Linked DNA regions of Anolis sagrei. The protein of the gene in region 3 interacts with the protein of the main gene of each other region in a pairwise test. Links are inferred from orthologs where the notes say so. Each region holds a gene or a part of one and is shown on either strand. Other genes may lie near its edges. The genes, in order: RETREG1, MLX, GABARAPL2 and FUNDC1.

Evidence for each region.
Region 1: the proteins of GABARAPL2 (region 3) and RETREG1 interact in binary tests that used the Homo sapiens proteins (3 or more experiments, as listed by UniProt). The link is inferred for Anolis sagrei from reciprocal best matches to the Homo sapiens genes GABARAPL2 and RETREG1.
Region 2: the proteins of GABARAPL2 (region 3) and MLX interact in binary tests that used the Homo sapiens proteins (3 or more experiments, as listed by UniProt). The two-hybrid records come from large-scale screens. The link is inferred for Anolis sagrei from reciprocal best matches to the Homo sapiens genes GABARAPL2 and MLX.
Region 4: the proteins of GABARAPL2 (region 3) and FUNDC1 interact in binary tests that used the Homo sapiens proteins (3 or more experiments, as listed by UniProt). The two-hybrid records come from large-scale screens. The link is inferred for Anolis sagrei from reciprocal best matches to the Homo sapiens genes GABARAPL2 and FUNDC1.

The regions. Positions count from the first base shown.
Region 1 is NC_090024.1:100,715,107-100,722,015, reverse strand, and holds the start of RETREG1 (reticulophagy regulator 1), read right to left. Parts: upstream 3,012-6,909; 5' UTR 2,983-3,011; coding exon 2,762-2,982; intron 1-2,761. UniProt on the Homo sapiens protein: Endoplasmic reticulum (ER)-anchored autophagy regulator which mediates ER delivery into lysosomes through sequestration into autophagosomes.
Region 2 is NC_090026.1:51,084,806-51,092,490, forward strand, and holds the start of MLX (max-like protein X), read right to left. Parts: upstream 3,006-7,685; 5' UTR 2,961-3,005; coding exon 2,913-2,960; intron 1-2,912. Other genes in the region: ATP-dependent RNA helicase DHX8, read left to right, coding at 5,619-5,724. UniProt on the Homo sapiens protein: Transcription regulator. Forms a sequence-specific DNA-binding protein complex with MAD1, MAD4, MNT, WBSCR14 and MLXIP which recognizes the core sequence 5'-CACGTG-3'. The TCFL4-MAD1, TCFL4-MAD4, TCFL4-WBSCR14 complexes are transcriptional repressors.
Region 3 is NC_090028.1:29,634,307-29,642,148, forward strand, and holds the start of GABARAPL2 (gamma-aminobutyric acid receptor-associated protein-like 2), read right to left. Parts: upstream 3,006-7,842; 5' UTR 2,871-3,005; coding exon 2,837-2,870; intron 1-2,836. Other genes in the region: TMEM231 (transmembrane protein 231), read left to right, coding at 3,145-3,244, 6,641-6,816, 6,903-7,031. UniProt on the Homo sapiens protein: Ubiquitin-like modifier involved in intra-Golgi traffic. Modulates intra-Golgi transport through coupling between NSF activity and SNAREs activation. It first stimulates the ATPase activity of NSF which in turn stimulates the association with GOSR1.
Region 4 is NC_090023.1:77,008,980-77,016,830, reverse strand, and holds the start of FUNDC1 (FUN14 domain-containing protein 1), read right to left. Parts: upstream 3,018-7,851; 5' UTR 2,928-3,017; coding exon 2,897-2,927; intron 1-2,896. UniProt on the Homo sapiens protein: Integral mitochondrial outer-membrane protein that mediates the formation of mitochondria-associated endoplasmic reticulum membranes (MAMs).

The DNA.
Region 1 (6,909 bases), on a different chromosome or scaffold from region 3:
TCACCACAAACATTTATCAGACAGATTTCATAATATTCCTTCCACCTGTCAAGCCAGCTAATGCTTGCTGTAAAATCTGGGTGTCCTTCATTAAATTCCTTTCGCAAATGCAATGCCTTTTGCTGTAAAATAGGCCCTAAAAAGGCACACCTTTGTCTCTGAACTGTACAAAGCTTTGCTAACTTTTTCATAGTTACACTTTCTAATCTTTTCCTCTTTTTTACTGCTCAACTCTGGAGGAACACAATTTTTCTATCTCCAATCGGTTCCTTTTCCAGTCCCCTGCTATTACCCTTCCAATGCCATGGTCCTCGGCTACCTTCTGCACAATCTCTCCTTTGTCCAGTCTCTTGATTGCCTCAAGTTTCTGTTCAATTGATACAACCACGTTCTTTTTTTTTGCCTCCATACTCGCACAAAGCATAAACACTGCATAGCAAGACGCAGCAAACCCTTCCGAGTCGGATAACACAGAACGTCAGATTATCGAAGGTCGGTTAAACACGACTCTACTGTATCTGCCTTGATATTCTGAGGCCTCTTTCACACAGCTGTATAAAATCCACATTGAATTGAATGCTATGGCAGTGTGGACTCAGATAACTCAGTTCAAAACAGATATTGTGGTGAGATTAGGCAGGCCCCCACCTCAGCAGCCTTTAAGAAAAATCTGAAAACTTGGCTCTCTCGATGTGCCTTTGGGAGTGACCATGTCCCATTTTTTGTCTGTTCCATCTACAGTGTTGCCCCTATGATGCACTTTCCCCTGTTCTAAATTGAAAGCATAACCCCACTGTTCATCCTTTTTGGGCTCCTCTCAATTACTTTTTTTTTAAAAAAAATTGTATTTAAGTAGACATAAATTTGCAAGTGTTTGTTGCATACAGTGCTATACTTTCTATCTATTAATGTTCCATAATCATTTATCTGATAATATATTTCCTTTAAGGGGTCACAATCTACTATCTAAATAATACATATAAAACTATCATATATTCTTACTTTACATCCGCTTCCTCCTTGTCTACAATCTTATAGGATCCTCTATATACATTTTTAGTTGAATTTTACATTAGGATGTTGAATAATTGGTTGCCATTCATTCACAAAGTTATCTAATAATTGTTCTCCTCTTAATAATAGTTACACTTTTTTATTCCTACCTCATCCAGGGTTTTATTATTTTACCTTGTCCATTTGGCCTGCTAATTGTGTTTGGGTTGTTGTAGAATTCCGGCCATGAACGCCTTTGACAATTATTGTGTTTGATTTTACGTTTTGTCAATTTGCTTGGTTTATTTTATTTTACTACTTTATGTATTTTATTCTGATGTAATTTTTGTTGTCTATATTTTCTATTTTATTTTGCTGTATTGTATCTTTGGGCTTGGCCGCGAGTCCCCCTCAGGGAGATGATGGTGAGGTATAAATAACATTTATTATTATTATTATCATTATTATTATTATTACTATTTGAAACACAACAAGATGGGTCCACAGCAGATAAGATCACTCTGCTGGCTGTTGTATTGGATCACACATTGGACACTTCCCAAGTGTCTAGGACTGTGTGATGTATCGGTGAATAATGCATGCAGATCCCAGTAAGGTGGTCTTCTGCAGCTGGCAGATGATAATCTTGTCAATGCCAATTGTGTTTAAGTGCAGGCCAAGGTCTTTAGGCACTGCACCCAGTGTGCCAATCACCACTGGGATCACCTTTACTAGCTTGTGCCGGAGTCTTTGCAGTTCGATCTTTAAATCCTCATATCGTGTCAGCTTTTCCAGTTGATTCTCTTCAATCCTGCTGTCACCTGGGATTGCAACATCGACAACCCATACTTTGTTTTTTTCCACGATTGTGCAGTCAGGAGTATTGTGCTCCAAAACTCTAGTATTGTGCTCAAAAACTGTCTGTCTGAATTATTATTATTACTAGTCGTCCCCTGCCACGACTTGCTGTAGCTCACTCTGGTGGTCATGGGGGGTCTGTGTGGGAGGTTTGGCCCAATTCTATCGTTGGTGGGGTTCAGAATGCTCTGTGATTGTAGTTGAACTAAAAATCCCAGCAACTACAACTTCCAAATGTCAAGATTCTATTTTCCCCAAACTCCACCAGTGTTCATATTTCGGCATTGAGTATTCGTGTAGAGTTTGGTCCAAATCCATCATTGTTTGAGTCCCCAGTGCCCTCTGGATGTAGGTGAACTACAACTCCCAAACTCAAGGTCAATACTACCCAAACCTTCTGGTGTTTTCTGTTGGTGATTGGAGTCCTTTGTGCTAAGTTTGGCCCAAATTCATCATTCGTGGCGTTCAGAATGCTCTTTGATTGTAGGTGAACTATAAATCCCAGCAACTACAACTCCCAAATGACAAAATCAATTTTTTGAGTGAAGGACATACATTGGGTTGTTAGGTGTATGCTGTCCCAATTTGATGTCAGTTCGTCCAGTGGTTTTTGAGTTCTGTTAATCCCACAAATTTTTATTTATATATATATTACTACCTGCCTCGATATGCTGGGTTACATGGCTATGTGGAAGGGCCCTGAGGCTGCCTCTCTGCTGCAGATGTACTCTGTGCATGCTCAGAGGTGCCCTTTCTCCACACTCCTCCTGCATGCCTTTGAAGCCAGAGATAAACTAGGAAGAAGGGGGCAAATACAGGGAAAGGGCGGAGGGAGAGAGATAGAGAGAGAGAGAAGGAGAGGGAGGCTGCAGTGCAATCTGCGAGGCTCTCCCTCAGCGGCGCCTCTCACCAGAAGAGCAGGTTGGCGCAGAGGAAGGCGGCCAGGACGCTGAGGGGCCTCTTCCCAGTCAGCGCCGCCACCAACCAGCGCCAAGTCCCGGTGGGTTCCAGCTCCTTCCCCTCGGCCTCCGTTTGGCTCCCCAGGCGCCCTGAGGGAGAGCCCCTCCGCGCTGCTGCAGCCGCCTCCTCGCCATCCATCTCCGCTCCGTCGTCTGACAGGCTTGTCAACATCCGGGGACGCGCATCTGTCTCTCACTCCCCCCCCCCCGCTACTTGTGCGCGCGCCGCCTTCTCTTCGGGCAAGAACCAATCACAGCCCCGTGTGGGTCTGCGCGGCGCCTCTGATTGGTCAACTCGGAGATCCCAGGCTACACGAGCGCGCGGGGCTGAGCGCAGGAAGGGTTAATAGAGGGGAAACTGGGCGGGGCGGGGGAATGTGCGCGCGAATCGCTTTCGCCCGGATTTTGTGTCGGCGGGATAGAATCAACCTGTGAGGGGAGGAAACGTATTTAAAGGGATGGCATGAAGAAGAGTGGGTTTAGAACGCGCTGACGTCAACAATGTAGAAAGGGCGGGAAAGCTCGCCCTGTGTGGCAATCAATTGGGATGGCAAGTCGCTTCTGGTGCTTGCTCCATCCATGTTTAACATGTACACTGACAGAAGGGACAGAGAGTTTCATAACTGAAGGGAGATATTGACAAGCTGGAATGTGTCCAGAGGAAGGCGACTAAAATTATCAAGTGTCTGCAGAACAAGCCCTATGAGGAGCGGCTTAAAGAGCTGGAATGTTTAGCCTGCAGAAGTCAAGGATGAGAGGAGACATTTTATTTCTCGTGTCAGGGCAGCCAGTCAATTATATTACATTTCTAACAGAACAAAGCAAACAAACAGAGAAAATACAAAATGTGTGAGTTTGGTAGTTGATTAAATGTCCTTTGACCAGTATCTGGCCACTTGGAGTGCTTCTGGTGTTGCTGCAAGAAGGTCCTCCATTGTGCATGTGGCAGGGCTCAGGTTGCATTGCAGCAGGTGGTCTGTGGTTTGCTCCTCTCCGCACTCGCATGTCGAGGATTCCACTTTGTAGCCCCATTTCTGAAGGTTGGCTCTGCATCTTGTGGTGCCAGAGTGCAGTCTGTTCAGCGCCTTCCAAGTCGCCCAGTCCTCTGTGTGCCAGGGGGAAGTCTCTCATTTGGTATCAGCCATGAATTGAGGTTCTGGGTTTGAGCCTGCCACTTTTGGACTCTTGCTTGCTGAGGTGTTCCAGCGAGTGTCTCTGTAGATCTTAGAAAACTATGTCTGGATTTAAGTCGTTGACGTGCTGGCTGATACCCAAACAGGGGATGAGCTGGAGATGTCACTGCCTTGGTCCTTTCACTATTGGCTGCCACCTCCCGGCGGATGTCAGGTGGTGCGATACCGGCTAAGCAGTGTAATTTCGCCAGTGGTGTAGGGCGCAGACATCCCTTGATAATGGAGGATTTTAAACAGAGGAGACATCATAGCCTGCAAATCTCTTGGGAAGACAGGCGGACAAACGTCAGCATGCTGGAAGAAACAAAGACCACCAGCACTGAAGTGATGGTCCTCCACCATCAACTCCGCTGGACCGGCCACATTGTCCAGATGCCCGAGCACCGTCTCCCAAAGCAGTTGCTCTACTCCGAACTCAAGAACGGAAAACAGAATGTTGGTGGACAGGAAAAGAGATTGAAAGATGGGCTCAAGCCAACCTTAAAACTCTGGCATAGACACTGAGAACTGGGAAGCCCTGGCCCTTGACCGCTCCAGCTGGAGGTCAGCTGTGACCAGCCGTGCTGCAGAATTTGAAGAGGCACGAATGGAGGGTGAAAGAGGGAAACTTGCCAAGAGGAAGGTGTGTCAAGCCAACTCTGACCGAGACCGCCTTCCACCTGGAAACCAATGCCCTCACTGTGGGAGAAGATGCAGGTCAAGAACAGGGCTCCACACCCACAAGAATACTGATCCTGGAAGACTATCTGACTCGGCCAACGAGGGATTGCCTAAGTAAGTAAATATAAATATGTGAGAGGAAGTCATAGGGAGGAGGGAGCAAGCTTGTTTTCTGCTGCCCTGGAGACTAGGACACAGAACAATGGCTTCAAACTACAGGAAAGGAGATTCCACCTGAACATTAGGAAGAACTTCCTAACTGTGAGAGCTGTTCAGCAGTGGAACTCTCTGCCCCAAAGTGTGATGGAGGCTCCTTCTATGGAGGATTTTAAGCAGAGGCTGGATGGCCATCTGTTGGGGGTGCTTTGAACACGATTGTCCTGGATGGCCCATGAGGTCTCTTCCAGCTTTATGATTCTACATGTTGTCGAAGGCTTTCGTGGCCAGAATCACTGGGTTGCTGAGAGTTTTCTGGGCTGTATAGCAGGAGAAAAGAATTCAGCCATGGCAGAGCACTTGGGAAGCCAACCTGGACACAGCATATTATTTGAGAACACAGAAATGCTGGACCACTCTTAACAACCACCCTGTCAGACTACACAGAGAAGCCCCTGAAATTCACAAGCATGTGGACAATTTCGACAGGAAGGAGAAAAACATAATGGACAAAATCTGGCTACGTATTTTTTTAAAAACCCTCTAAAATCAGGACAGTAAATAAAGAGGAACGCTAAAAAAAACAAACACTAGGGGAATTCCAGACAGAAAACAACCAGGGCCAGCTAACAGCTCCCAACAAAAAATCCCCAGGCAGGAAGCAGCCAGGCTTTGATGCTGCAAGGCTGTTAGATGCTAATCAAGGTGGCCAACTGCAATATTCACATTTGCTTCAAGCAGACAAGAGTTCTTTCTCCCACTCTGGACACTCCACAGATAAGTAAACCCCACTTGCCTAGTTTCCAACAGACCTCTCAACCTCTGAGGATGCCTGCCATAGATGTGGGCGAAACGTCAGGAGAGAACACTTCTGGAACATGGCCATACAGCCCGGAAAACTCACAGCAACCCAGTCTCATCTATGCTGATGATCGTGCCATCACCACTCAAGCAGGGAGCTTTCAAATGGTTGAACAGAAGCTCTGAAGCTTTAGGTCAGTGGTTCTCAACCTGTGGGTCCCCAGATGCTTTGGCCTTCAACTCCCAGAAATCCTAACAGCTGGTAAACTGGCTGGGATTTCTGGGAGTTGTAGGCCAAAACATCTGGGGACCCATAGGTTAAGAATCACTGCTTCAGGTGCTCTTACTGCCTACGATGCAGTATGAGTCCTGCCACATGCACAATGGAGGACCTTCATACAGTGACACCAGAGGCACTTGAAGTGGCCAACTTCTGGTCCAAGGAAATTTAGCATAATGCCAAGGTTTTAACTTTGTGATTTTTATACATTATAACTGTATTCTCAATTTGCTTCTGACACTGATAAATAAACTGTCTATTACAAGCAAAACCAGCTGATTCCTAATCCATCTAAAACACAGACATGTGCTTTTCATCTTTAGTACAGACAAGCACCTTGAGCTCTGAGGATTACCTGTGAAGGAATCCCACTGGAGCATTGCAGCATCCCCAAATACCTGAGAGTCACCCTGGACCACGTACTGACAAGAAGCACTGCTTGAATGAATATCAAGCAGAAAGTGGGCACTAGAAATAATATCATACAAAAGCTGACCAGCACAACCTGGGGATCACAACCAGACACAGTGAGACATTTGCCCTTGCACTTTGCTACTCTGCTGCTGAGTATGCATGCCTAGTGTAGAATACACCTCACCAAGTTAAAACAGTGGATGTGGTTCTTAATGAGACATGCCACATTATCACAGAATGTCTATGGTTTTTAATATGGTTTTTTAAATAATATTATGCTGAATGTTTTAATTGTATTTTTATGAATGCATGGCATCAAATTCTGCCAATTCTGGAAGCCGCCTTGAGTCGCCTTAGGGCTGAGAAAGGCATGCTACAAATACTGTAAATAAATAAATAAATAAATAAGCCCTACACCACTAGAGAAATTATACTGTTTAGCCGGTATTGCACCACCTGACATCTGTTGGGAAATAGCGACCAGTAATGAAAGGACCAAGGCATTGACATCTCTGGCTCATCCTCTGTTCAGATATCAGCCAGCATGTCAATGATTAAATGAAGAAATAACTTCCTAATATCTACAGAGATACTC
Region 2 (7,685 bases), on a different chromosome or scaffold from region 3:
AACATAATGTTTTGTTGCTTAATTTGTAAAATCATAACATAATTTGAGGTTTTAATAGGCTTTTCCTTAATCCCTACTTATTGTCCAACATTTTCGCTTATCCAATGTTCTGCCGGCCTGGTTATGTTGGATAAGTGAGACTCTACTGTACAAAGAAATGTTGCAGTATATCCTTCCTAAAACAAATGCTTGTGTTAAGTTCTGGTATTTCTGCATTAGAAGACTGCTGTTCAGGGGGACCACACCCAGCCTTCCTGTTATGATATATATAAGTAGAAAACTAACCTCAACCCTTGTAAAAGATAACAACACAATGGAAAAGTGTGAGCCAAAATATCAATTTTCTTCTTCTTCAAATATCCCTATGTGGTCCAAATTGGGGTTTAACCTCAGAGCCCCCATTCATAGAATCTTTATTCATTTCTTCCAGGGTGAGGCAGCATAACTTCCTTTTTTAAAATGCGCGCCATTCAGTCGGTTGAAGACGTAGAGGAGTGCTAGTGGTCTCGTTTGAGAGGCGGGAGTATAAAGTTTTGTCCTGACACAGTTCAGTCGCACATCATGCGTTGGAACAGTGAGGAGCGTGCTTTTGCCATTGAGGCCTACTTTTCGAGCGGATTTGGAGTTGTCAGCCCGCTCTCCAGATTTGGCCCCTTGTGATTTTTTTCCTTGGGGAGTTTTTGAAATCCGGTGTTTATGTGAACCGTCCAAGGACCCTACAAGATTTGAAGACCAACATCCAGGAAGAAATTGCCAACATAACAACTGCTATAGGTGGTACTTAACCCCTTACAAAATGTCAAAATGTTATAAAAACACTTCAGACAAATGTTGGAAATGTGGGCAACAAACTGGAACATTTTTCCACATTTGGTGGACCTCTTCAAAAGCAAAAAAGTTTAGGACAGAGATCCATATGGAAATACAAAAAATACTAAATATATAAAAATAGAAAAAGAACCGGTCCCCCCCCCCCCCCCCCCCCGGAATTCCCTGCCTAGGGAAATCAGACAGGCTCCTACTTTGTCCTCTTTCTGGTGTCAACTAAAAAACTTGATATTCCGGTAAGCTTTCAATTAAACAGTCAACCTGTAACTTTTTCCTGCACTTTATGTTTGGCCCTCTTATCATCCACCTCAACACTTTGATGACACTATTCCTAGTCCTATCTACTTGATTGTTGCACTTTCCTTGCGCTCCTCTTCAGGATGTATTGCATGCAAGGCACCTAAACCTCAGCTATATTTTTTCTCAGCCATATTGTTTGATATTGCTTACAATTGTGTTTGTTTTTATATTTTACCTGATGTTTTTAAATGTGTGTTTTATTTGTAATTTTGGGGCTTGTCCTTTGTAAGCCGCCCCGAGTCTCCCTGGGGAGATGGTTGGCGGGGTATAAAAATAAAGTTATTATTATCTATATAAATAAAAATGTAATGTTCGTTTGTGGGATTAACAGAATTCAAAAACTACTGGATGAATTAACATGAAATTTAGACACTATACCCCTAACAGACCAACAAGTGATCACTCATAAATCACCATGCCCCCCCCCCAAAAAAACTGGAAAGGACTTAAAAAAAAACCCAAAAGCTAAATGACAATACAGAAAAAAGGAAGAGGGGGGGAAGGAAGGGGAGAAAGAAGGAAGGAAGGATAGAAAGAAAGAGGGAGGAAAAGAAATCTGGAGGGGGGAAGGAAAGAAAGAGGTAGAGAAGGAAGAAGGAGAGAAGAAAAAAAGGAAAAGGGAAGAGGGAATGAAGGAAGGAGGGAAAAAGGAGAGAAAGAGGTGGGAAGGAAAGAAAGAGGTAGAGAAGGAAGGATGGAAGCAAAAAGTGAAGGAAGGAAAGAGGTAGAGAAGGAAGAAAGGAGAGAAAGGAGAAGGAAAAGAACGGGGGGGTGAGGAAGGAAAGAGGGAGCGAAGGAAAGAAGGAAAGATGGAAGCAAAGAGTGAAGGAAGGAAAGAAAGAGGTAGAGAAGGAAGAAAGGAGAGAAGGAAAGAGGGAGTGAAGGAAGTAGAGAAAGAGAGAGGGAAAGAAAGAATGAAAGAGAGAAGGAAGCATGGAAGCAAAGAGCGAAAGAAGGAAGAAAAGAGGTAGAGAAGGAAGGAAGGAGAGAAAGAGGGAGGGAAAGAAAACGGGAGGGGGAAAGGAAAGAAAGAGGTAGGGAAGGAGAGAGGGAAAGGAAAAGAAGGAAAGAGGGAGGGGAGGAAAGACAGAAGGAAGAATGGAAGCAAAAAAACAAAAGAAGGAAAGAGGTAGAGAAGGAAGGAAGGAGAGAAAGAGAGAGGAAAAGAAAACGGGAGGGGGAAAGGAAAGAAAGAGGTAGGGAAGGAGAGAGGGAAAGGAAAAGGAGGAAAGGAAGGAAAGAGGGAGGGAAGGAAAGACAGAAGGAAGAATGGAAGCAAAAAAACAAAGGAAGGAAAGAGGTAGAGAAGAAAGGAGAGGAAGAGGGGGGGAGAAAAAGGGAGGAAGGAAAGAGGGAGCAAAGGAAGGAGGGAAAGGAGAGAAAGAGGGAGGGAAGGTTGGCCACAGCAATGCGTGGCGGGTACAGCTAGTTATTATTATTATTATTATTAAAAATGGCAACACAAATGGCTGCCAGCCAAATGTAGGCGCAGCAGCTGCTGCTTAAACATCTCCTCAAAACAGGTGAATTGTTTATACTTAAGATTTAATTAAACCCTTTGTAAATCTAAACATAACACAAAGAGGAAGCCCCTCTCTCACGCACTGGCCTAAGGTTAGTTTAGCAGACGGAATGGTGCCAAAGCTGAGGTTTGAAGAGACATTCTTCGTATGCTCAGAGGCTACTTTACATTTCTTCGCCCGAAAGGACAAGGAAGTCCCTGACCTCCACAGGCCTGCGATGCACTTCGAGACCCAGGCCCAGCCCCTCCCAGCTCCACTCACTTTTCCTACCCAAGCATTTTCCGAAGAGACGCTGGACGGTTCCGCCATCTTCCCACAGCTAGGCCACAATGTCACGTGTCCTCCTGGCACTGGCCAATCAGGGCTGGGGGGAGGGTCCTCCCGGAAGAGTCGCGTCGAACTGCAGAGGTTTTTGGGAAAGGTAGTTTTTCCTCTTCTGCCGGACAAATCCTGCAGCCACCTGCTTGTCTTCAACGTCATTTCCTGTTTACTATTGCAATACACCATCCCCAGACCGGAAGTGAGAGTTATCCTGAAAAATTAATGGAGAGGGACAGAAATTGCAGTCACTACGGCTGAATCTAAGCTGCCCTGTAATCCATCTTCAGAATGTGGATAAACTGCATTGATCTGGATTGTAGGCCAGTATAGATTACTATAATCCGATTCAATTTAGTTAATCCACATTCTGAATCTGGATTATAGGCCAGTGAAGATCCAGCCTTTGTCCCCTTTACTACAAGATCCCTCAGCATTTGTTTAATAATATCTTTAGTAAACCACCAATTTTATTTATTAGGAAACCACACAAAGAGTAAGCACAAAATTCATTTCATATTATTATTTATTTATTTATTTATTTACCTTACTTATATACCGCTGTTCTCAGCCCGAAGGCGACTCACAGCAGTTCACAACAAATATGAACAGCAAAAATTCAGTGTTACAGTATAGAAACAGTTAACAACCTAACACATTACACAATTAATAAACAGTTACTACAATACCCATTCACTATCGTCTCGTCATCAAAAACATGTTCCAGATTCGTCATCCATTGTTCCATTCCAGTGTTCATTAACCAATCATTCCACTAATTATTCGAACACCTGCTCAAACAGCCAGGTCTTCACCTTTTTTGTGGAATACCATTAGAGATGGTGCTAGTCTAATGTCCGTAGGAAGGGCGTTCCACAGCCGAGGAGCCACCACCGAGAAGGCCCTATCTCTCGTACCCGCCAGCTGAGCTTGAGAAACAGGCGGGATCGAGAGCAGGGTCTCCCCGGAAGATCTCAAAGTCATATATTTATATCCTGCCCATCACCACCCAAGCAGGGAGCTTTGAGATGGTTGAACAGAAGCTCTCTGAAGCTCTAGGTGCTCTTACTGCCTATTACAGGGAAAACCAGCTGATCCCCAACCCATCCAAAACACAGACATGTGCCTTTCACCTTAAGAACAGACAAGCACCCCAAACTCTGAGGATTGCCCAGGAAGGAATCCCACTGGAGCATTGCAGCACACCCAAATACCTGGGAGTCACTCTGGACCGTGCCCTGACCTACAAGAAGCACTGCCTGAATATCAAGTAAAAAGTGGGTGCTAGAAACAATATCATACGAAAGCTGACTGGCACAACCTGGGGATCACAACCAGATACAGTGAAGACCTCTGCCCTTGTGCTATGCTACTCTGCTGCTGAGTATGCATGCCCAGTGTGGAACTCATTACACCACACTAAAACAGTGGATGTGGCTCTTAATGAGACATGCCGCATTATCACGGGGTGTCTGCGCCCTACACCACTGGAGAAATTACACTGTCTAGCCGGTATCACACCACCAGACATCCGCTGGGAAGAAGCAGCCAATAGTGAAAGGACCAAGGCAGAGACATCTCCAGCTCATCCCCTGTTTGGGTATCAGCCAGCACGTCAACGACTTAAATCTAGACATAGTTTTCTAAGATCTACAGAGACGCTCGCTGGAACACCTCAGCAAGCGAGATTTCAAAAGTGGCAGGCTCAAACCCAGCACCTCAATCTGTGGGTGATACCAGATGAGAGACTCCCCCCTGGGCACACAGAAGACTGGGCGACTTGGAAGGCGCTGAACAGACTGCGCTCTGGCACCACGAAATGCAGAGCCAATCTTAAGAAATGGGGCTACAAAGTTGAATCCACGACATGCGAGTGTGGAGAAGAGCAAACCACTGACCACCTGCTGCAATGCAACCTGAGCCCTGCCACATGCACGATGGAGGACCTTCTTGCGGCAACACCAGAGGCACTCCAAGTGGCCAGATACTGGTCAAAGGACATTTAATCAGCTACCAAGTTTGCAAAATTTGTGTGTTTTTTTTATCTGTTTTTTTGTTTTGTTCTGTTAGAAATGTAATACAGTGTTCTGGTTGTGGATGACACATACATAATAAAATAAAAAATAAAAAAAATACCAGGGTGGGACAAAGGACTCTTGTCTGCTGGAGCTAGGTGTGAATGTTTCAGCTGACCACCTTGATTAGCATTTGATGACCTGGCAGTGCCTGGGGCAATCTTTTGTTGAGAGGTGATTCGATGTGCCTGATTGTTTCCTCTCTGTTGTTTTGCTGTTTTTAATTTTAGAGTTTTTTTTTATGGGAAATCTCTTTTGGCACCTCTCACTTCTAATCTGGAGAGAGGTTTAATTGTAGGCATTGTCAAACTGCGGGCCTCCAATTCCAAAACCATTTTGTTCTATGGTCAGGAATTCTGAGAGTTAGAGGTCCAATCAACGAGAGGACAGAAGTTTGAGGCTGCCTGCTTATGACACCGGAAGTCTGCCGAGAGCGGCATTCTAACCTTTTATAAGTTTAGGGGAATACACCGGAAGTAAGGCGTAATGCGTGCGACGCTCTTACGCTAAGGGACGCACGGAGGGGAGAACCGGAAGCGCGTCTGGTTAGCGGTGGGGGCGGCGGCGTGTTGCCATGGCGGACCCTGTAGAGGAGCTTGCCAAACTCGAGTACCTCTCGCTCGTCTCCAAAGTCTGTACGGAGCTCGACAACCACCTGGGCATCAACGACAAGGACCTAGGTGGGTGCCTGGGTGGCGGGGAGGGACGGGCCCCCATTTTGCGCACCTCCCGGAGCTGGGGAGCCTTCCCTGCCACCTCCTTGTGTCCCTCATCGAGCAGCAGAGCTTCTGTACCAGAATTCCTCAACTTCTGCCCATCCAAGTTGTTTGGACTTCAGTTCCCAGAATCCCTCCTCGTTGACCAAGGCAGCTGAGGCTTCTGGGAGTTGAAGTCCAAAGTCCTGAGAATCTCTGGAAGGCATCCTTGTTCTTATACCAGGCATGGGCAAACTTCGGCTCTCTAGGTGTTTTGGATTTCAACTCCCACACTTCCTAACAGCCGTTGTGGGAGTTGAAGTCCAAAACACCCGGAGGGCCTAAGTTTGCCCATGTATTTATTTGTCGTGTCAGGGCAACCAGTCAATTGTATTATATTTCTAACAGAGCAAAACAAACAGTCAAAACACAAAATTTGCAAGCTTAGTAGTTTAGTAGTAGTAATTTTTATTGATTAGCCCTTAGGCCATATCACAATAAGAAACAGAACAACAAGGCCTGACAAGACCTGATCACACTCCACGTAGAAAGTTAAAATAAGACACTTATAATAATACAGTAAATACATATGATAAGACATGATAAAACTGATAAACTGATCAAGCTGAGTGTATACATCATATTTCATTATCACCCCTACAATTTACCCCAATCAGCCCTACATATGTGGTTCTCAGACGTATTGTTTTGCTTAAGTACAGAGCTGTTTTATACGTTATTTTTGGGTCTTGGCCACACATAAAATATGTTGTTCTGATGTGAGAATCCCAATACATTGTCCGTTTGATATATGGACCAAGGTGGAAGTCTCTCACCTTTTGATACAATTTGCAATCAAACAATGTGTGTGCTATATCCTCAGTTTCGGGTGCCCCGCAGATACAACTCCGTTCATTATAAGGGATGCTGTTAAATCTCCCGTATCTAACCATTGTCTCGAGCTGATCAAATCTGGCTCGCGTGAATACCTCCCTGAGATGTTTTGGTATTTGCATTTTTAGATAATTAGCAGTTTGAAAGGTGAAGTTTAGTAGTTGATTAAATGTCCTTTGACCAATATCTGGCCACTTGGAGTGCTTCTGCTGTTGCTGCAAGAAGGTCCTCCATTGTGCATGTGGCAGGGCTCAGGTTGCATTGCAGCAGGTGGTCAGTGGTTTGCTCTTCTCCACACTCGCATGTCGTGGATTCAACTTTGTAGCCCCATTTCTGAAGGTTGGCTCTGCATCTCGTGGTGCCAGAGCACAGTCTGTTCAGCGCCTTCCAAGTTGCCCAGTCTTCTGTGTACCCAGGGGGGAGCCTTTCATTTGGTATCAGCCATTGGTTAAGGTTCTGGGTTTGAGCCTGCCACTTTTGGACTCTTGCTTGCTGAGGTGTTCCAGCGAGTGTCTCTGTAGATCAGTGGTTCTCAACCTTCCTAATGCCATGACCCCTTAATACAATCCCTCCTGTTGTGGCGACCCCCAACCATAACATTGTTTTTGTTGCTACTTCATAACAGTCATTTTCCTACAGTTATAAATCATAATGTAAATATCCGATATGCAAGATGAATTTTCATTCACTGGACCAAACTGGGCACAAATACCCAATGCACCCACATGTAAATGCTAGTGGGGTTGGGGGAGGATTGGTTTTGTAATTTGGGAGTTGTAGTTGCTGGGATTTATAGTTCACCTATAATCAAAGAGCATTCTGAACTGCACCAGCGATGGATTTGAACCTAATTTGCCACACAGAACTCCCATGACCAACGGAAAACACTGGAAAGGTTTGGTGGGTATTGACCTTGAGTTTGGGAGTTGTAGTTCACCTATGTCCAGAGAGCACTGTGGACTCGTGCAATGGTTGATCTGGACCAAACTTGGCACAAACACTCAATATGCGAAAATGTGAACACTGGTGGAGCCTGGGGAAAATAGACCTTG
Region 3 (7,842 bases):
CAATTAAACCTCGTGCGCCAGCTGCGCCCATACCTTGGGAAGTCTGACTTGGCCACGGTGGTCCACGCTTTGGTTACATCCCGTTTAGATTACTGCAACGCTCTCTACGTGGGGTTGCCTCTGAAGACTGCCCGGAAGCTTCAATTAGTCCAACGTGCGGCTGCCAGATTACTAACGGGAGCGGGGCACAGGGAGCATGCTATTCCTCTGTTGCGCCAGCTCCACTGGCTGCCAGTCAGCTTCCGAGCACAATTCAAAGTGCTGGCCTTATCCTATAAAGCCCTAAATGACTCCAGCCCAATTTACCTGTCCGAACGTATCCTCCCCTATGAGCCATCAAGATTACTAAGATCGTCTGGAGGGGCCCTGCTCTCGATCCCACCGGCCTCATAGGCGCGGCTGGTGGGAACGGGAGACAGGGCCTTCTCGGTCGTGGCCCCCGACTCTGGAACTCTCTTCCACTGGAGATCAGAACTGCCCCTTCGATCTTAACATTCAGGAAACAGGTGAAAACCTGGCTTTGGGGATTGGCATTCAACGAATGAGCCATGATCCTGTGATATGGATGGTTGATGATGAATAATGACTTTGATGACGACTGACCACTGTAATCATATGATTGTATTTTTGCCATTTTAATTGTTTCAATGTTTTAATGGTTTAGTGTGATTTAGAAATATGATGTTTTAATGACGGTCTGTAATATTGATGTTGGAAACCGGCCCGAGTCCCTCGAATGGAGGTGAGAAGACCGGTATACAAAACTACCAAATAAATAAATAAACTTTGTCCCACCCTGGTCATTCCACAGATATATAAACCCCTTTTCCTAGTTCCAACAGACCTCACTACCTCTGAGGATGCTTGCCATAGATGCAGGCGAAACGTCAGGAGAGAATGCCTCTAGACCATGGCCATATAGCCCGAAAAAACCTACAACAACCCAGTGATTCCGGCCATGAAAGCCTTCGACAATACATTATTATTATTATTATTATTATTATTATTATTTCTGGGAGTTGTAGGCCAAAACCCCTGGGGGCCCACTGGTTGAGAACCACTGGCCTAACATTGAGTCGCCTACGGGCTGAGAAAGGCGGTATAAAAATACAGTAAATACCTCTGAGGATGCTTGCCATAGATGCAGGCGAAACGTCAGGAGAAATGCCTCTAGAACATGGCTCTACAGCCCGAAAAAACCCACAAGAACCTAGTGATTCCAGCCATGAAAGCCTTCGACAATACAGTAAATAAATTTATTTATTTATTTATTTACTTTATTTGTATACCGCTCTTCTCAACCATTAGGCGACTCAGAGCGGTTAACAACAAGAAGCGGCAAAAATTAATTGCAAACATCGTACAGCCATTTAAAAGACAATTAACACAATAATACAGTAAGCAATTAACACCAATAACCATCAGTAAACATCAATAAAAAACTCACTAGCGTCTCATAACTAAAATCATAATCCAAGCTCGTAAATAAATAAACAAACATAACAGCTTATTGTTTAATTTGCCTGTTTTGTTTTCTTCCTTTTCCTCTTTTATATCGACTTGTCATGTTATGATCTGCCTTCTTTTATTCTGTATTTGTTATTTATTGTATTTATTTATGTTGTAAGCCGTTCCAAGACCTTCCGGGGGGGATGGGGCGGGATATAAATAAAGATTATTATTATTGTATTGTCGAAGGCTTTCATGGCTGGAATCACTCAGTTCTTGTGGGTTTTTTCGGGCTATAGGGCCATGTTCTAGAGGCATTTCTCCTGACGTTTCGCCTGCCTCTATGGCAAGCATCCTCAGAGGTGAGGTCTGCTGGAACTGGGAAAAAGGGGTTTATATATCTGTGGATCTGCCTAGTCAAAGCCATGGTATTCCCTGTAGTCACCTACGGATGTGAGAGCTGGACCTTAGGGAAGGCTGAGCAAAGGAAGATCGATGCTTTTGAGCTGTGGTGTTGGAGGAAAGTGCTGAGAGTGCCTTGGACTGCGAGAAGATCCAACCAGTCCATCCTCCAGGAAATAAAGCCCGACTGCTCATTGGAGGGAAGGATACTAGAGACAAAGTTGAAGTACTTTGGCCACATCATGAGGAAACAGCAAAGCCTGGAGAAGACAGTTATGCTGAGGAAAGTGGAAGGCAAAAGGAAGAGGGGCCGACCTAGGGCAAGATGGATGGATGGCATCCTTGAAGTGACTGGACTGACCTTGAAGGAGCTGGGGGTGGTGACGGCCGACAGGGAGCTCTGGCGTGGGCTGGTCCATGAGGTCACGAAGAGTCGGAGACGACTGAACCAATGAACAACAACAACAACATCTGTGGAATGACCAGGGTGAGACAAAGGGCTTTTGTAAGTTGGGCTAGGTGTGAATCTTTCAACTGACCACCTTGATTAGCATACAAGCAAGGTGGTCAGTTGAAAGATTCACACCTAGCTCCAGCAGACAAGAGTCCTTTGTCCCACCCTGGTCATTCCACAGATATATAAACCCATTTTTCCTACTTCCAACAGACCTCACTACCTCTGAGGATGCTTGCCATAGATGCAGGCGAAACGTCAGGAGAAAAATTGCCTCCAGAACATGGCCATATAGCCAGAAAAAACCCACGAGAACTGAGGATTATTATTGTTGTTGTTGTTGTTTTCCACAGTGTCATTCCTTCTGCGTTGTATTTTGTGTAGCTGCTATAATGAACCACTTAGTGAGGAGGCAGGATGGGAATCAAGAATCCCTGAGGGAAAGGAAAGGCCCGGCCCCCTTCTTTGCCTTCCTTCCTTCCTGTTTGTCCGGGCCCGGCTCCCTCCCTCCCTCCCGCCTTCCTTCCTCACCGAGCGCGTGGTCCTCCTTGAACATCCACTTCATGGCGCGGAGGAGGGAGGGGCGGGGGTCGCGCTCTTTCTTTCGGGCCTCCAACGCCACAACAACGGCGACGACGACAGAGATTCCAGCTCTTGCTCCCCGTTTCCGGAATACAGGGTGTGACTTCCGGTTGTCAAGATTCCCGACAACCCTCACTGTCGGGAGGACTTCCGCTCGAGTTCTCCGAGGCGCCTTGCTGATTGGACGGCCGCACGAAAGCCCGCCCCCTAGACCCCGTTTCCTGTCTTTCGCGTTGCCGTGGAGACGGAGCCGCGCCATGGCTAAGGAGAGGCGCAGCGCGGTGGCAGCAACAGCACTCTTCTTACTAGGCGTGCTGGTCGTCCTCTCGCCGCTGCTGGTGGCCTTCCGGAGCCACGGTGAGGATCCACGAAAAACAAGGGAGGGATTGCTTTCAAGGCCAGAATCACTGGGTTGTTGTGAGTTTTCCGGGCTTACAGTAGCATTCTCTCCTGACGTTTCGCCTGCATCTATGGCAAGCATCCTCAGAGGTTGTGAGGTTGTGAGGCAAGGGCAGGAGCAAGAACTCTTCATTAGCATTGAATAGCCTTGCAGCTTCAAGGTCTGGCTGTTTACTTCCCGGGGAATCCTTTGTTGGGAGGTGATTAGCTGGCCCTGATTGATTCTTGTCTGTATGGCCATGTTCCAGAAGCATTCTCTCCTGACATTTCGCCTGCAGCTATGGCAGGAATCCTCAGAGGTTGTGAGGCAAGGGTAGGAGCATTGAATAGCCTTGCAGTTTCAAGGTCTGGCTATTTACTTCCCTGGGAATCCTATGTTGAGAGGTGATTAGCTGGCCCTGATTGATTCTTGTCTGTGTGGCCATGTTCCAGAAGCATTCTCTCCTGACATTTCGCCTGCAGCTATGGCAGGAATCCTCAGAGGTTGTGAGGCAAGGGTAGGAGCATTGAATAGCCTTGCAGTTTCAAGGTCTGGCTATTTACTTCCCTGGGAATCCTATGTTGAGAGGTGATTAGCTGGCCCTGATTGATTCTTGTCTGTGTGGCCATGTTCCAGAAGCATTCTCTCCTGACGTTTCGCCTGCATCTATGGCAAGCATCCTCAGAGGTTGTGAGGCAAGGGTAGGAGCATTGAATAGCCTTGCAGTTTCATGGTCTGGGTATTTACTTCCCGGGGAATCCTTTGTTGGGAGGTGATTAGCTGGCCCTGATTGATTCTTGTCTGTGTGGCCATGTTCCAGAAGCATTCTCTCCTGACGTTTCGCCTGCATCTATGGCAAACCTCCTCAGAGGTTGTGAGGCAAGGGTAGGAGCATTGAATAGCCTTGCAGTTTCAAGGTCTGGCCATTTACTTCCTGGGGAATCCTTTGTTGGGAGGTGATTAGCTGGCCCTGTTCCAGAAGCATTCTCTCCTGACGTTTCGCCTGCATCTATGGCTGGAATCCTCAGAGTTTGTGAGGTCTGTTAGAATCTAGGCAAGTGGGGTTTATATAACTGTGGAAGGTCCAGGGTGGGAGCAAGAACTCTTCATTAGCATTGAATAGCCTTGCAGCTTCAAGGTCTGGCTATTTACTTCCCTGGGAATCCTTTGTTGGGGGGTGATTAGCTGGCCCTGATTGATTCCTGTCTGTATGGCCATGTTCCAGAAACATTCTCTCCTGAGGTTTCGCCTGCATCTATGGCAGGAATCCTCAGAGGTTGTGAGGCAAGGGTAGGAGCATTGAATAGCCTTGCAGCTTCCTGGGGAATCCTTTGTTGGGAGGTGATTAGCTGGCCCTGATTGATTCTTGTCTGTATGGCCATGTTCCAGAAGCATTCTCTCCTGACATTTCGCCTGCATCTATGGCAGGAATCATCAGAGGTTGTGAGGCAATGGTAGGAGCATTGAATAGCCTTACAGCTTCAAGGTCTGGCTATTTACTTCCCTGGGAATCCTTTGTTGGGAGGTGATTAGCTGGCCCTGATTGATTCTTGTCTGTATGGCCATGTTCTAGAAGCATTCTCTCCTGACATTTCGCCTGCATCTATGGCAGGAATCCTCAGCGTGAGGTCTGTTATTTATTTATTTATTTATGCTATTTCTATCCCGCCCATATTAGCTCGAAGGCGACTCAGGGCGGCGTATAGAGTCGGCACAATTTGATGCCATATATAAAATGCATACATTGATAAAACGCAGAAAAAAGAAACATTACAGTATATTTAAAATCATAAAAACAATGAACAATAAAAATTTTAAAAATGTAATCTAGGCAAGTGGGGTTTATATAACTGTGGAAGGTCCAGGGTGGGAGCAAGAACTCTTCCTTAGCATTGAATAGCCTTGCAGCTTCAAGGTCTGGCTATTTACTTCCTGGGGAATCCTTTGTTGGGAGGTGATTAGGTAATAGTATGATAGCTGGGTCCGGAAGCTCCGAGTGTTACGGAGATGCCACATCGCTCCTTCGGGAGCACTGTTTGCGCAAGAGAGACTTAGTTAATGTAAGCCAGGCCAGAGACAGATAACATAAAAGGAATATAAGAGTTCTTTAATGGTGAAACCCTAACCCTTATGCTAACCGAAACTCAAACCCTAAACCATACCCTAACTATAACCCCTAACCCTTACCTTAACTGTAACCCTAACCCAAACCCTGAACCTTGTCCTAACCCTTACCCTAAGTGTCCCCTCCTTTCTAACCTTTCTTCGCTCTCCCTGCTCTCACTCCGTCCCCTCTCTTCCCTTATTCACAGCCACCTTTGCGGCATCTTGGTAACGTTCAGAGCTTCCGGACCCAGCTATCATACTATCACCGGTGATTAGCTGGCCCTGATTGATTCTTGTCTGTATGGCCATGTTCCAGAGGCATTCTCTCCTCACATTTCGCCCACAGCTATGGCAGGCATCCTCAGAAGTTGTGAGGTCTGTTGGAAACTAGGCAAGTGAGGTCTATATATCTTTGGAATAATGTCCCAGGCAGGAGAAATAATTCTTGTCTGTTGGAGGCAAGGGTGAATGTTGCAATTAATCACCTTGATTAGCATTGAATAGCCTTGCAGCTTCAAAGTCTGGCTGCTTCCTATCTGGGAGAATCCTTTGTTGGGATTGTATCTGTTTTCTCAAACCAGTCATAATAATAATAATAATAATAATACTTTATTTAATACCCCGCCACCATCTCCCCAATGGGGACTTGGGGCGGCTTACATGAGGCCAAGCCCAACAGCATATTACAATAAAGTAAAACCAAAACACAATAACAACATAGTAAAATACATACAACATATGAGTGCAAAGACGATAAAGCAAAATCATACACAGTAAAATAAAATAACATAACAATGATGGGCCTCATGTGCAAGATAAAAACAAAGATACTAAAAATACTAAAATCAGGATGAGATAGGGATGGAGCAGATTGTTTGTGGGGGAGAAACTCGTAAAGGAACGGGGTCATAAATATAGACCTTCATACAGGTGGGGAATATACTCTGGGGACAGAAACAGTTGAGGGGGAGCAACTGTGTATGATAATATGGCTACTCTCCAAAAGCGTGTTGGAAAAGCCAGGTTTTGAGATCCCTCTTGAAAATTTCTAAGGTGGGGGCTTTCCTAATCTCACTGGGCAATGAGTTCCATTGACCATAATAACTTGAACTTGGTTTCTAAATGTTCACCTGCTATACATTTTATTGTGTTTTGCAAAGTCATTACAATTGAAAAGTCATTCTTGAAAAGTAAAATAAAATTTGAAAAAGAATAAAATATCCTTTGGATAAAAACGCTGCCTACCCGCCTTCCTTCCATCCCCACAGGATTCTGGCTGAAGCGGAGCAGCTACGAGGAGCAGCCCAGGGTCCGCTTTCAGCATGAGGTGCTGTTAACAGGGCTTCTGGCTGGAGAGCAGGGCAGTGGGGGCTTCGTGGGGTGGAGCTCCTTTGCAGCCTGCAACCGGCTTCTGGGTGACCACCTACGCCTCCCACTTATCTCGGTAGGAAAGCAGGTCCTTCCTTCCTCCTTTTCCATGGCGGGAAGTCAGGCCCTCTGCCCGCTTCCATCCATTCCTTCATTCTTCAGGCCCGGGAGGAGGACGCAGACCATGACGGCCTGATGGACCGGCTTTCCTTACGCCTGGAGCTCCCTCTGCGGCCCTCGGAGCAAGTCGTGGGCGTCCAGCTCCTGCTGACCTTCTCCTACCAGCTGCAGGTGAGGAGTCCAGGGCGTGATTGTTCATCAAATTTGGAATTATGGCCAACTCCACTTGCACTATATGGCTGCCACAATACATCTTAGAGCAGGCATGGGGAACCTTCGGCCCTCCAGGTGTGGTGGACTTCAACTCCCACAATTCCTTGAGGCCAAGGTAAGCCTTTGGGGCGAATGCCGAGCCTCAAGGAATTGTGGGAGTTGAAGTCCATCACACCTGGAGGGCCGAAGGTTCCTGACCCCTGTCTTAGAGGAACACCGGTGCCAGCCATTTTTATTGTAACTGTATTTTAAACTGTTTTGAGGGTATTTGTTGTAATGTTTATTTATGTTTTAGTTAATTATGTCTTACTTAGTATTCTGTTATATTTTATCTCGATGCTTAATTCACTGTTATTGTTGTTGGAGCCCCCAGTGGCTGTTGGAGGCAAGGGTGGCGCAGTGGGTTAAACCCCTGTGCCGGCAGGACTGAAGACCAACAGGTCGCAGGTTCAAATCCAGGGAGAGGTGGATGAGCTCCCTCTATCAACTCCAGCTCCTCATGCGGGGACATGAGAGAAGCCTCCCACAAGGATGATAAAAAAAATCACATCATCCAGTCGTCCCCTGGGCAACGTCCTTGCAGACAGCCAATTCTCTCGCACCAGAAGTGACTTGCAGTTTCTCAAGTTGCTCCTAACACGACAAAAAAAACCCCTGTTATTGTTGTGCTCTATCATGTATTTTAATATGTTTTTGATATGTTTTGTACTCACTTTGGCATTGAATGTCTGCCTTCTTATGTGTAAACACCCTGAGTACCCTGGGTGGT
Region 4 (7,851 bases), on a different chromosome or scaffold from region 3:
CTGCAGTGCTTTGGGACATTAAAACAGCCCTGTCCTCTACTGATCTCAGCAAATTACAGGAAAAAACTATTTGCTACCTCAGGATCAGAGGCAGTCGGTCTTCAACTTGGAAAGGTTATTTTTTCTGGACCTCCATAATTAAGCTGTAAGATTCTAATCCAAACAAATTTTTTGAAGCTGTGGGGTTTCCAAAGGCAGCATGGGAAGGATTAGATAAACATCTGGGTAAAATTTGATTGACTAAAAATCCTAAACACTCTTTGTAGGAAATGTGTCCTCACTGCACAGTATGAAAGGCTTCTCATGAGCAAACCTTCTTGCCCAGAGTGGTAGATTTCAAAGAAATAGGCTTTTTGGTCTCTTGTACCATAAAAAGGAAGGGAAAGAAGAAAATAAAGGAAAGGAAATGTGGCAGTATCAAAAAATGAAAAAAGTTGGTTCAGTGGTTCTTAAACACAGAGGTGTGACCATCGGTGGATTGTTGCTCAAAGCAGGAACAAGAATTTTCCAGACATTAAATTATTATTCAGAAAAATGGTTCCTTATCAAACTCATTTGTTGAGTAAAACTTCCAATTTGAATGCTGTATCTGCATAAAATGTTGAAATACAAATATACAAAATATGCATGCTGGACAAAAAAGTATTCATATACAACATAATTACATTGAGTTGGGGGGGGGGGATTTATGTCCCCATGTAGATGTGATGGGAGGAAAACTGAGAACTTGTGAGAATAAATCTACACCGCAGAATCAATACTGTTTCGTACCACTCTACTTTCCTTGACTAAGTGCTATGAAATCCTGGGATCTGCAGTTTGGTGAGACACCAGCACACTTTGGCAGAGGAAGCTTGTAAAATTGCCACTCCCACAATTCAATAGCACTGAGCCATAGGAGTTAAAGTAGTATCATTTCCATTAATTTTGCAGTGTACATCAGACATGGGCAAACTTTGGCCCTCCAGGGGTTTTGGACTTCAACTCCCACAATTCTAATAGTCTCGGGCCCATTCCTTTCCCCCCTCAGACGCTTAAGCTGAGGGGGAATTGCTGGTGCTTAAGCGGCTGAGGAGGAAAAGGGGCTTGAATGTGTTAGGAATTGTGGGAGTTGAAGCCCAAACCCCCCTGAAGGGCCAAAGTTTGCCCATGCCTGGTGTAGATGAACTCTTGAGTCAAATATGCTGCCACATTTCCTTTCTTCCTTACTTTTTCTTCTTGGCTAGAGACCAGCTGCACTGCAGAATTATACCAGTTTGACACCACTTTAAAGGCCATGTGGCTTCAGGGCTTCCAGATAGAGGAAAGCAATTATTTCACAGAACTGCAACTCCCACAATTCCATAGCACTGAGCCATGGGAGTTGAAGTGGTATCATTTCCCTTTTTTTTTTTTTTTTTGTCGTGTCAGGAGCAACCTGAGAAACTGCAAGTCGCTCCTGTTGTGAGGGAATTGGCCGTCTGCAAGGACGTTGCCCAGGGGACACCCGGATTTATCATACTTGTGGGAGGCTTCCCGCATGAGGAGCTGGAGCTGATAGAGGGAGCTCATCCGCCTCTCCCCGGATTCGAACCTGCAACCTGTCGGTCTTCAGTCCTGCCGGCACAGAGCTTTAACCCACTGTGCCACCGGAGGCTCCATAACATCATTTCCATTAATTCCACAGTGTAGACATGGGCCCACCAGGGTTTTTGGACTTCAACTCCCACAATTCCTAACAGTCTCAGGCCCATTCCTTTTCCCACTCAGCCGCTTAAGCTGAAGGGGAATTGCTGGTGCATAATAATAATAATAATAAACATTATTTCTACCCCGTCACCATCACCCCGATGGGGACTTGGAGCGGCTTACATGGGGCCAAGCCCAGACAACATATTACAGCAATAAAATCAAAGCATATACAACAGACAACAACATCATTATCAAAATTACATTAAAAAGAGAGAAAAAATCGTAAAATAAACATTCCAATAAACACAATCATGGTAGTGATGACTATGGGCGGGCCACATATTCAGGATAAAAACGGTTAACAAACCATGATCAGATAAAATAGGAGCAGGACGTTTATAAGGGACTCATAAAACACACAGAGTTGTGAAGCTGAACATCCTATTTGGAGGGCACAAACTCCATTAGCAGAAAACGTTGAGGGGTGCAAAATATCAGCTTAAGTGGCTGAGAGGGAAAAGAAGGGGCCTGGGGCTGTTAGGAATTGTGGGAGTTACAGTCCAGACACCCTGGAGGGCCAAAGTTTGCCCATGCCTGGTGTAGATGAACTCTTGAGTCAAATCCTAGATGTGCTGCCACATTGCCTTTCTTCCTTGTTTTTCTTCTTGGCTAGAGACCATCTGCACTGCAGAATTATACCAGTTTGACACCACCCTAAAGGCCATGGTTCCATTCTATGGAATAATGGGATTTGAGCTTTATTGTGGCTTCAGGGCTTCCTGACAGAGGAATGCAATTCTCTCACAAAACTGCAACTCCCAGGATTCTACAGAACTGAGCCATGGCAGTTAATGTGGTGCCAAGTAACTGTGATTCTGTAGTGTGCACGCAGTGTCTGTGCTGTCCCCTCCCCACTGCCACCCGAGCTTTCCTTCCTTCCTTCCTTCCTCTTTGGGGCCTGGAGGAAAAGGCTAGGCCAGGCCAGGCCCCGCCTCCTCCGTCGCAGCGCAGCCAATGAGCATGGCCCTTTCCTCTCTCTAGTTATTTCTCTCGTCAGCCCCACAGCACTGGCTCCAGGAGGGCAGGGCTATCACGAGATGGGGGGAAGGATGAGTGGGAAGGCTCCGAAGTCTGCGCGGAAAAGGCCAAGCCAACTCCGCTCCGGGGGACCAGGAGGGCACCATGGCAACAGCACCCGGCGCGGCCCAAAGAGGCCCCCACTGACCTGAGGCGGAGCGAGATCGCCGAGACGCCATGTTGGCAACTGGAGGGCGGGGGGAGGAGGAGGAGGAGGTCCCCGGATGCTCCGCCCACCAGCTCTGTACAGGTTCGGCGCTCTAAGGCCGCACAAGACTGCGCATGCTCACAACACAGCCAGGCCTCCCTCCGCCTCTTCGGGCTTTGTGGCCTTCAATGCGTGACGTCATCATGGAGGCTACACCCCTCCTCCCGGGGATTATGGGGAATCTGTTTTTTTCTTCCCTTCTGCTGAAACCAAGGTCTTGCTGCTTCAAGTCTGCAGAATTAATGCAGTCTTACCCCACTTTCACTGCCATGCTGAATGTTACTGGAAAGGGGGCTCCTGCTTTTGGGAAGTGTTTTGGTTTCTTTGCCCCTACACTATGAAATCATGGGAGTTGTAGTTTGGCAAGGACCTTAGCCTTCTCTGTCAAAAGAGGGGGATGCACCAAAACTTCCAACTCCCAGGATTCCATATAATGGAGTCATGGCAGCTAAAGAGGAGTCAGATTGCATGAAATCTAAGGTGTAGATCAGGCCTGGGCAAACTTGGGCCCTTCAGGTGTTTTGGACTTCAACTCCCACCATGCTTAACAGCCTCAGGGTGCTTGCCAAAGTGCAGGCGAAACGTCAGGAGAGAATGCCTCTAGACCATGGCCGTACAGCCCGAAAAAACCTACAACAACCCAGTGATTCCGGCCATGAAAGCCTTCGACAATACATTAAATAAATCCTTTTTGGGCCTAGAGCAGAATAAAGGAAAAGGAAGGAGGCTGATTGAGTTGGTGTCATGTGACTGGGAAAGAAAGGGATTGAAGCAGATTGATTGGCTGTTGCTAGGTGACATATATAAGAGGAAGGGAGGAAGGAAGGGGAAAGAAAGAAAAGATAAGAAGGAAGAGAAAGTGAAGGGGAAATGAGTGAGGAGAGAAAAGAGACAGATGGGAGGGAAGAGAGAAAAAGGGAAGAGGAAGGAAGAGAAAGAAATGGAGGGAAGATGTATGACGGAAAGCAAGGGAAGAAAAAGAGAGTTGCATGAGAGAAATGGGGGAAGGAAAGAAAGCACCACAAACAAAGCCTGCCCACCCTGGCCAGAGTGTTGCCATGGAGACATTGTGATGTGGGCCTTCTCAGAACTGAAGAAAGGAGAAAGCAGGTAGGCAGTGCTACTTCCCCGTGCCCCCCCCCCCCCAACACCCAGGCAATGTGGGCTATATAGACTAAAATGTCAATGTAGTGAGATATCTTGAAGATGGGCCCCAAATCTAAACAATATTCATTTATGTTTAACTAGCTGTACCCGCCATGCGTTGCTGTGGCCAACCTTCCCTCCCTCTTTCTCTCCTTTCTCTCTTTTGTTCCCTTTTTTCCTTTTCTTCTCATCTTTTTGCTTTTTTGGCTTTTTAAGTCCCTTCCACTGTGTTTTTCAGTGTTTTATGAGTGATGGTCACTCGTTGGCCTGATCGGTGTATTGTGTCCAAATTTGGTGTCAATTTTTGAGTTATGTTAATCCCACAAACTAACATTTCATTTTTATTTATATAGATACTAGCCATCCCCTGCCACACGTTGCTGTGGTCCAGTCTGTTTATATGTGTTTTATATGTGTATATGTGTGTGTATTTTTGTGTATATGTGTGTTTGTGTATATATGTGGTTTTGTGTGTGTTGTATTTTTTTGTTATTTGTCTTTTTAAGTCTCTTCTGCTGTGTTTTTCAGCATTTTTATGAGTGATGGTCACTCTTTGGCCTGATACATGTATTGTGTCCAAATTTGGTGTCAGTTCGTCCAGTGGTCTTTGAGTTATGTTAATCCCACAAACGAACATTACATTTTTATTTATATAGATACACCCTATATGCAGATACACCCTGAAGAATGATTTTCTACACAATATTTTTGAATAATTCTGTGCAAGTTTTAATGTATCTGTAGGGCAACATCTTTGAGAATCATATTGAGCTGTGGTGGTTAATGTGGTGTCAAACTGCCATAATTTTGCAGTGTTGATAAAACCTGGGAAAGGAAAGCGTAGATGTGGAGATGGGTTTAGGTTCCAGTTGGTGGATAAGGCTGGTAGAGGCCCAGTAAAAGGGAGGAATGGCCCAGCTCACTGCCTGAGGCAGCCACCTGGATTTATCTGATATAAGAGAGGGAACCCTGTGGCCCTCCAGATGTTGTTGGCCTCCATTTCCCAGCAATCCTTACCATTGCTTGTGCTGGCAGGAGCTGCTGGGAGTTGTGTTTTTGTTGGGGTTTTTTTTCCCTCCTTGCTTCAGGTGGCAGGCAGACTGCTAAACTAGTGGTTGTCAAACTATAGTCCTCTAAATTTGGGGACTTCCCTAAGCATTGGCCATACTGACAGACTTCTGAAGTCCAAAACATTTGAAAGACTAGTAGTTGGGAACCAGTGGCCTGCCATCCCCTTGAATTCAGGCAGTCTTGGGGTGCATCTATACTGAAGAATGAATGCAGTTTGACACCACTTTAACAGGTCTAGCTAAACGGTATGGTATCATGGGGGTTGTCGTTTTACTAGGTCTGCTAAATAACTGCTGCCTCTCCAAACTACAACCCCCATGATTCCATAGCTTTGAGGCATAGTAGTTAGAGTAGAGCCAAACCCTAATAGACACACTTCCAGTCATGTAGAAAATGGAAGAAGCTCCAGAAGCTAGAACCTAAAACCAATGAATTCAAACCACAGGAAAAGTAACTCCACCTAAACATTAGGAAGAACCTTACTGCTGTAATACCTGTACAAACAGTGGAATAAATGATTTTAGAAGGTGATGGACTCCCCACCTTTTAGAGGTCTTTAAACGATTGTTGGATGTGCATCTTTCAGAAGTGCTTTGGTTGTGTATTCCTATAAGGCAAGGAGTTGATATATGGCTCTTGTTTTTTTGTTTTGTTTTGGGGTTTTCTTTCCATATCAGGAGTGACTTGAGAAACTGCAAGTAACTTCTGGTGTGAGAGAATTGCCCGTCTGCAAGAACGTTCCCCAGGGAACGCCCGGATGTTTTGATGTTTTATCATCCTTGTGGGAGGCTTTTCTCGTGTCTCTGCATGGGGAGCTGGAGCTGACAGAGGGAGCTCAACCCGCTTTCCCCAGATTCAAATAGCTGGCCTTTCAGTCATCAGTCCTGCCGGCACAAGGGTATAACTTACTGCTCCACCGGGGCACCCTTGTGATCTCTTCCAACTATAGCTGGATCTACGCTGCCCTATATCTCAGAATCTGGTCCCAGATTATCTTCTTTGAACTAGATTATATGAGTCTACACTACCAGATAATCTGGAATAAGAAGAATACTGGGCTATAAACAATGTATTTTAATATTGAGATAAATGTTTTTATTGTTTATGTATACATATAATGAATTCTTGTCCCGGCATTGAATGTTTGCCATATATTTGCTGCCCTCTGCCCTGAGTCCCCTTTGGGGTGAGAAGGGCAGAATATAAATGTTTTAAATAAATAAATATAGGGCAGTGTACATCCAGTCTAAGATGAATTTACTTGGATTACTTTAGGTCACCCAAGCCAACCTTACCTAACGTTGTTGACATTTTAAAGAAAGAGTCATGTGTTTTAGCTTTTGATTCTAAGACAAAAAGGGAAATAAAAATATATTGGCAATAAACAATAATATTTTGTGGGTTGTGTGTCACCTACATTTTAAAATTGAATACTTATATAAAGGGCGGAAGAGTCAAAGTAATCATGCATTTCTAGTAGTGCTTCAATGTATGAATCTAAAACCATGTGATTATTTTTTACTTTTTTGCTGACAATGCATATGGACAAGCTTTTTCTTTTTCAATAGTTAGAGTCTGCATTCTTTTTTCATGTACAAGATTAGCAAAACAATTAGCAGAGCAACTAAAAATAAAAGCATAAGACTGATTTATTTAAAACTGGAGGCAATAAAAAGATAAACTCTGTAGCAGCAACAGCAGAAATTGGTGCAGTGTTGAGCATATCTATCTAATTTTCATAGATTTTATTTATTTAGTACATGTAACAATGCATTCCTGTTCTGTGTATTTCACTAGGTTGTTGCAAACAGAAAACATTAAGAGAGCAGATCCCACGGGAAAATGGATGAAGTTACTTCAGCTTGGAACCATGTTCTGTGCTGTATAAATGATCCCAGAACCTTACTTGTGCCAGTATAAACATGAGTAAATCATGAGTCAGTCACCATTCCTTACCAAGAGGTATAAATAAACACACTGGCCCTTTTAGGTATTGCTCTGAAATTTAAGCCATGAACGATCCCATTCTACCTTTTCCCTAACCAGGAAAACTTGCCATAATTTGTGTATGCATGTGTGCAAAACCAAAATGTATAATACTTTAAAAACAATAGTTTTCCAATAGTTTTGTTCCAGTGTAACTTTATTAGAAATAATATCAGTCAATATCAGTCAATAGGTTGCTGTGAGTTTTCTGGGCTTTATGGCCATGTTCCAGAAGCATTCTCAACCACGAAAGCCATCAACAACACAAGATCAGTCAAGATTGGGTTATTTGGTCATAATTTCTTCAAAGACTTCATATGCCTCTCTTTGGCAGCAAGGTCTCTCAGAAGTGTTGAAAACCACAATAGATTCTTAGAAAACATTTAGCAGTTCATGGTACTGAACTAATAATAATCTGAGACTGATGCAGGTTTATTTCTTCGTGCCTATAAGCATGAAGTGTTTCTCCGATTTGTTAAAATACTTGTGTGCTACCTTTCATTTTTACTAATCTTGCTCAAGGCTTTTACTAATCTTGAAACAAAACCCATATTGCTGTAGCATTCAGTAATGCTAATAAAATGGCACAGAAGAGCATTCAAATATTTCAGAGTCCAATGGAAAACAAGGTTTACTTGACCACTGCATTTATAAGACTGGTATGACAATAACTTTATTCTTTATTGTCCTCT